Drosophila melanogaster: one gene and its partner. The protein of the gene in region 2 interacts with the protein of the main gene of each other region in a pairwise test. Each region holds a gene or a part of one and is shown on either strand. Other genes may lie near its edges. The genes, in order: Boh2 and Boh1.

Region 1 (3,803 bases), on a different chromosome or scaffold from region 2:
TGAACAAATAATTCCTTTAATTAACTTGATTTAAAGATCTCCTTCGCTGGAGTAATTTCGTCTGTTTATGCTACATACCCCGTCCATTCACGGACATCCATGGGGACACCTTTCATGTGGCAGCAGGGATCGGGTTTGGGATAATTTGATGGCCGACTCCGGACAGTCCCTGCATTTGCAAGCAATAAAAATTAATTTACGTTCGATTGCAAGGTTTTCGCGCTCGAAACGAGAGTGAACCCGCCGCCGCCGCCGCCTCCGTTGATGACACATAAAATGCCACGTTTACGGCTCCTTAAGACGCGACTCGGTCTCTTCACTTTCTGCCAACATAAAAAATGTTAAGTTCGAAAAATGGCGATTTTTTTTTTAAGGAGAGCAGGAGGCATGTGGCACGCCATCGCAACGTTTCAAAGTGGCGCACTACTTGCCTAAAACAGAGAGTAAATCGGCGCAGTTGGCCATTTGGATTTGATGCCCCTTCACCTTGCCAGTCCCCCGTCTCGTGGGCTTGGCGATCAGAGTACCTTTCCAGGAATCGGAAACTGGGCTCGTCCGCACTCCGCCTGTTCCTCTGGACAGGTCTGCGCTGCGGCACTTCCAGCTTGAACCTGAGTGCTTTGATGTTTGGCCCGTTTGGCTGCCAGAAACTAATATCCTTTGCGAAACTGATATGATTTCGGCATGGAACGGGTTTTAGGATCATTCGTACTTATATAATGACAAAAGCTTATTGGGTTCATTAGATTTATTTATTCAATTTTTTATCTTATTTTTCCGATAGATTTTTATTAAACATATTTCAATTCAACTTTGGTAATGATTATCATTGCTAAACAGAACTGCATTGGTGATGATGAAGTATTCTTCCTTTAAACATTAACCAATTTTGTATTTTTCCAGTCTTAATTGTTTGAAAACATCTATGTAATTTATATAGCAGATCATAAGTTGATAACGATCTAAAATGATTATGAGCTAAGCAATCCCACTTCTCATAAGTTTTTTATTGAATAACTTTAGATTTATGTGGATATACATTTAGGAAACACACAATATTGTTATACTAAATTTATTGGCCTAGATTAACTATATTTAGGGTAGGTCGCTGTAGTAGTTGACCCAAGCGTTTTTGGCTTAACTAAAGTATTCCTCCGCAAAGGGAAGTCGGTCATCTAGCGGCGACTATTCTCCTCCAAGCGCGCCACCGTACGTCGCAACTCGACAAGCTCCGCCTGAAGGCGATCCACGGAGTCAGCTTGAACTGCACTGACAGCTGGGAGAGGGCCTGAAGGAACTGGAGCTGGAGCTGAAGGATTCACCGCCAAGGGTGGAACGGCGCGTCTAAATGGTACTGCACCCTCTACGCTGGCGATGGAGAAGTTCGGATGGATTTGAGGAGTAGTCACATGGCCAGTGGCCGCTGGAGTGCCCGCAGACGTTGAGACGCTGGCCACTGGCCGTGATAGTATTAGCGATGAAATATAGCCCGATGGCGGAGTTCCCTTATGGTTGGTTAAAAACTTTTGTAGCTTGGACGCAGCACTGTCACGTTGCGATTCCAGCAGCAGACGCATGGCCTCCTGGTCGCCGGATCTGGCCTTCTCCAGCGAGTCGGAGCCCTCGTCGATGATCACATAGTTGATGACATGGGCATGGGTGCCCGGCTTTATTCGGTATACTAGCTGTCCACCATCACTAATTTTCGAGAGCGCCGGAATGTCGCCCATATGGGCCATTTCGCCGCCCACTTGAAAGATCGATGTGTGCCCATTGACTACCAGTGGCTTGGGCATTATGTACGGCGCGGACACGAACTGGGAGCACTTCCTCTTCGTCTTCTCCACCACAGTGGCCACTTTGCATCCGGTGGTGTTGCAGGTGCGCAATGGAAGCAGCGCATCCCCGCCAGAAGCCGGATTTGTTTGCTGCATTGTCTTGGCTATACGACAGTTCTCACGGCAGCTGATTGTGAATTGCCTGCTCCTCTGCAAATCGGCCAACGCTTTTCGATCACGCACAAACTTATTTTTTATTTATTTTTCTCGTTTTAGTGGTTTAAAAAACGTTTTTAATGTTAAAAACTCAGCGTTGTCTTTTTTTTTTGTAGTGTGAACCACGCGTTAGGGAATCACAGGTTTCCCGAAGATACCACGAAAAATACCATAAAATACCAGAGTGCCGTTGCGCATGTTGATAGACCGATAAGCGTAAAGCGGGAAATTCGAAAATTCTTTGGCGATTGCAAGAAAGCAAAAAATGCTTTTAGATATTTCTGGCTATTACTTATTAAATATTAGTTGTTAGAACATAAATGCTAGTATAGCTTAGCTTGTAAAAGTAATTAAGATTTAAGTTGAACATATACAACGCATTTCTATTTTTGCCTTGCAATCTAAAAAATCGCTCAATTACTAACTTATTATTTGTATATGTTTTATGTCTATAGTTGTCTGAACAAACATTAATTAAAACTATATTTGAAGCTTGCGACCATAATAGCTAATGAAGACAATTAAGAATGGGGCCCTTCTTAACACATTAAGTTCTCGCAGAGTGAGATAATAAATAATTTGCATACATAATCGAGGTGAGAGCATTCAGGTGTCTGGGAAATGGCGCGTGGGTGCAACGACCACCGCGCTGACCTCGAAACGGGGCAAATGGAGCTGGACGACGGATCGGATGATGGGTGGAGTAGAATGGAGTTGCACCCGCTTCATTTACATTCCAAGTACTTTAAGAGCGAACGCTGGTCGTTAAAAGATGCTGCTCGGATCGGACATTGAGCAGCGGGTTTTAGTACTGAAACAGCGAACGGACCGGACTGGACTGGACTGGACCGGGCTGGACAGTTCCAGCCGCCAGCTTCTTTAATTTCCACTCGTCAATCATCCATCTCGGCGAACTCAGAGTTGCAGCCTCATTGTTGGCTCAAATGAAATAATTACTTTAGCACACAGCGACTGACTGACTCCGTCTGGAAATGGATTGGAATGGGCCAACTCGGACCACGCCAGGCCAGGCCAGGCCCTTCGTGCATCTGCATCCTTAGTCATGGCCAATATATCGACTCGCATTAACCACGACAACAACTGCAGTCGGCAGAAAGGCAGTGCAATAAAATCCTCCAACACGTTTCGTCCCGAGTCCGGGAATAATAAGAAATGAAATGCCATTTATTAAGCATTAATAAGTGCAGGCGTCCACGTCCATCCGCCATCCTCGATCTCCATCTCCATCGCGCCCAAATGCGCAAGATGCACTCCCATCTGACTCAGCATGCGATGCCTGTGGGCATCCCATCAGCTCTCCTGCCCCTCATCCATCCAATGGTCACATGGTTGGTCCTATGCTCACATGCAGACTCCATTTTGGCCATAAAGTTTAACTCAGGGGGTGGTAGAATTCAGATCAAACCAGGTCTATCAATTCTTCTATCAAATCTTTATAAATGTGGGCCATCCTTTAGAGCTTCTCTGACTCCGTAATCCTTGCTGGTTAGAACTAGTTGCCTACTTGTAAAACAACAAAAGTTTCCATTTTTCAGAGCTCATTAATTTTTAATCTATGGGCTGTAGTCTGTCAACATATTAACAAAATGGGCAAATTAGTTGCATTTAATATCTACAAAATAGCCTTTCAAGTTATGCATTTGCGAATAAATATAACAATATTAAAACATATTGTTGCTAAAGTTTTTACTCTTTGATAGCCGTGACTAATCAGAATTCAAGACGGGTACCTGGGGCCTTCGACATAAAAAAAACGGCACACAAAGGACCGTCGGCACCTGCAGGGTT
Region 2 (3,637 bases):
AAATTTCGTTTACGAATTAAATAAAAAAAAATATAAATAAATACAGAAACAACTAAGGATGGCCCACTACAAAGGTGCCGCCAGCGAGGCGGGCCGTGCAGCCCAGCTGATGAAGAAGCGGGAGATCCAGCAGCAGGAGATCGAGTTTCGCAAGAAGAAGATCGAGGAGGAGCTCAAGCTGGACAAGATTGAGAACAAGTTTGCCACCCACTACGATGCCGTGGAGCAGCAGCTCAAGTCCTCGACCATTGGTCTGGTCACCCTCGACGAGATGAAGGCCAAGCAGGAGGATATAGTGCGGGAACGGGAGAAGAAGCTCGCCCAGAAGAAGGACGAAAAGGATCGGGAGAAGCAGCGCGCCCTGGAGGCCATTCAGGCGGAGAAGAACAAGCAGAAGCGGCAGATCCAGGCGCTGTCCTTCAACCTGGACGACGACGAGGAGGAGGAGGAGGAGGACGACGAGGATCACGATAAGAAACAGCTGAAGATTAAGCAGGAGGATCAGCCCAAGCCCAAGTGGACGGAGATCAAGGAAGACATTTTGCCCATAAAGAAGAAGAAGATATGCAAGAATCCTGACGTGGACACTTCCTTTCTGCCAGATCGCGAGCGCGAGGAGCAGGAGAACAGACTGCGCGAGCAGCTGCGTCAAGAATGGGTAATGCAGCAGGCGGAGCTGAAGGACGAGGACATCTCCATCACGTTCAGCTACTGGGATGGCTCCGGCCATCGGCGGAACGTGCTGATGAAGAAGGGCAACTCCATCTACCAGTTTCTGCAGAAGTGCCTGGAGCTGCTGCGCAAGGAGTTCATCGAACTGAAGACCGTAATGGCCGACCAGCTGATGTACGTCAAGGAGGATCTGATCCTGCCGCACCACTATTCCTTCTACGACTTTATCGTGACCAAGGCACGCGGCAAATCCGGCCCGCTCTTCCAGTTCGACGTCCACGACGATGTGCGCATGATAAGCGACGCCTCCGTGGAGAAGGAGGAGTCCCATGCCGGAAAGGTACTCCTCCGCTCCTGGTACGAGCGCAACAAGCACATCTTCCCAGCCAGCCGATGGGAGCCCTACGATCCCACCAAGTCCTACGACAAGTACACCATCAAGGACAAGGATAAGAGTAAAAAGTAGTGCTTAGGGCAGTTTCTGCCCGAATAATTGTACAATATAATAATGATTGATTTAATACATCAAAACAAACGAAAAATAACTACAATTTTTATTTGATTTTTCCACCAGATTTACAATCAGTTTAATTAAACTATTATAATAGGCATTGAATGAAATATAAAATATATAACAAATTTATGTTTGCTTAATACAATTTTGAATTCATTAGAAAATGTCATACTTCTCATAAGAATACCCCTAATTATTTAAAATGGCACTGTTAAGAGAACTTGTTGCTAAACAAATTTGGTAGAAATTTTAGTTTATAAACACAGTATAATCAGAGAACATGCAGTTATTCAGCACTTCGTATTGATTGCCATGAAAAAAGAACTGTTAGATTTATATTTTATTTTAATTTTTTAATATTCCAACTGTCATAATAGTCAAAAGAAGTCGGATATGGCGGGAAAAAAGCTAGCCCGCCAGCACCAATAGCAACATTGAATTTTTTGCGCCAGTAAAATTCGCGTCTTTTTATAAAAAGCAAGCGTAATTAATAACAAAAATAAAATAAGTTCCAAGTAAAATGTGAATTCATTTTTCGGATACGTATCGATTTAGTGCCATTTGAGAACCCCGAACCAACGAAATGTACCCGGCGCAACCGGCAAAGGTGGCGTTGGCCGGTCAACCGATATCCGCCGGAAAACCACCACGCCACAGCCCTGTTCAGATGAAGTCTATCCCTTTGCCCGTCTTCGAGCTGCCGGAATACGTGTGCGTGGAGACCAAGTGGGTGACACGCAAGTACGCGATAGAGAATGGCATTCCAGTGAAAGAACTGCATGCCCCGATCACCAATGGAGGCGCTACAGAGTCTCCCAAGAAATCCGTACAGCAGAAGAGACTCAACGAGGTCACTGGAATGTTTGCGAACGAGGCTATGGTGCCGCGCAGAGAGCGCGCCATTCAAACAGAGAATGCGGGCACTAAGGATGCGGGCATTCAATGCCGTCGCGATTCGGAGGAGTGGTATTTACCAGAGGAACGGCCAAAGGATACCGGTTCTGAGGCCTCCAATTCCGACAAATTTCTCACCTACGTGAGCGAGAACACATTCATATTTCCCAACGGCATGATGGAGTGCGCGGTGTGCGGCGATGTGGCCAAAACCTTGCTGGAGCACCAGAGCCACATGACCGCGCACTATGGACCTGGTGCTCTGTGCTTTCGCTGTGGTCAGCGTCTGGACCACCAGAAACAATTGAAGCAACACAGTCTGAGCTGTCCCGCTCTAGCGCCCAGGAAGTCATCGATGCTCTTTAAATGCCCACATCTACTCTGCAACGCCATGAGCCACTCAGAGATGCAGTTGCTCAGGCACCTGAGAAACCATAGCGGCAGGAAGTGCTACAGATGTCTTCAGTGCAAACGTTACTTCAAGACCACCACCTCTCTTTTGGTACACCGAAAAAAAGAACAGAGTTGTGCCAAGGCGAAAGTGGTCGTCCTATTTCGCGAACACAACGGGTTGCCCAATGGAAGAGGTGATCCCAGACGTTGCTCAGTTTGCTTGAAGCGTTTCAGCAGCGAGCGGGTATGCCTGCGGCACCGGAGACAGTGCATCCTTGGCCATTTTAGACGGCTGTCCAGGGTCCTCAAGAAGGAGCTATGAACAGCGTATAGAAATCTTGACCTAGCTGGTATTTATTAGTACATAGAAATCGATAACAATAAAGCGAATAGATCCTACGAAGCCTGGACGCCGTGAGCCTTTTTCAGTCCCTGGAACAGCATCAGTTTCTCCCGGTTAACTTCCTTAAGCGTCTGCACCGCCAGCTCCAGTTGCACCTTCTTCAGCGCATGTTCGCTGGCGATGTACTGCTCAATGAACTTCAGGCTGATCTCATCGGCGGCGAAATCGTGCTCCGTCTTGCCAATGGCCGTATGGATCTCCTGCTCAATGTTCTGCTTATTGTCATGTCGTCGGAAGACGCTTCTTAGCTCCGCCAGGGCACTTTCCGCCGGCGTGGCATGCAGTTTGCCCAGTTCGGTCAGCGTTGCCTGATACTCCACTGGGATGTTGTGTAGCTTGTAGCTCAGAGCAATCAGCTCCACGGCATTGTGCAGATAATCCCGACGGATCATGTCATACAGCAGGTCGTCGATGCAGCGGTGCCAAGCGTAGAAGAAGGCCATGGGTCCAAAGTGGCGGGTGGAGCGCAGAAGATCGAACTCCTTGGACTCGTTGAGATGCTCGAACACACGCGCTGAAATGTTGTGGAACTCCGGCTCATGTGGCTCGTACTGCACCAAGAGTCGATCCAGGATGAACTCGTACTTGTGCTCCGCCAAGCACTTGGCCAGCAGCTCCTCCAGCGCGAACATTCGTGGAGTATATGACTGGCGACCCTCCAGCGGGAAATACAACTGGTTCATGCGCTTCGTGGTATCAAGAGTGGCGTAGGCCAAGGTTCCGTCCATATCCCGGACGATTACCTTGCGTTCCGACTGCCG

The links.
Region 1: the proteins of Boh1 (region 2) and Boh2 interact in a two-hybrid assay, tested with the Drosophila melanogaster proteins (2 studies listed by BioGRID).

What each region holds. Positions count from the first base shown.
Region 1 is NT_033779.5:11,177,363-11,181,165, reverse strand, and holds Boh2 (buddy of Hmr 2), read right to left. Parts: upstream 2,135-3,803; 5' UTR 1,935-2,134; coding exon 1,176-1,934; 3' UTR 736-1,175; downstream 1-735.
Region 2 is NT_033777.3:27,917,416-27,921,052, reverse strand, and holds Boh1 (buddy of Hmr 1), read left to right. Parts: upstream 1-1,592; 5' UTR 1,593-1,769; coding exon 1,770-2,795; 3' UTR 2,796-2,869; downstream 2,870-3,637. Other genes in the region: CG12259 (uncharacterized protein), read left to right, coding at 59-1,138; mRpS22 (mitochondrial ribosomal protein S22), read right to left, coding at 2,870-3,637.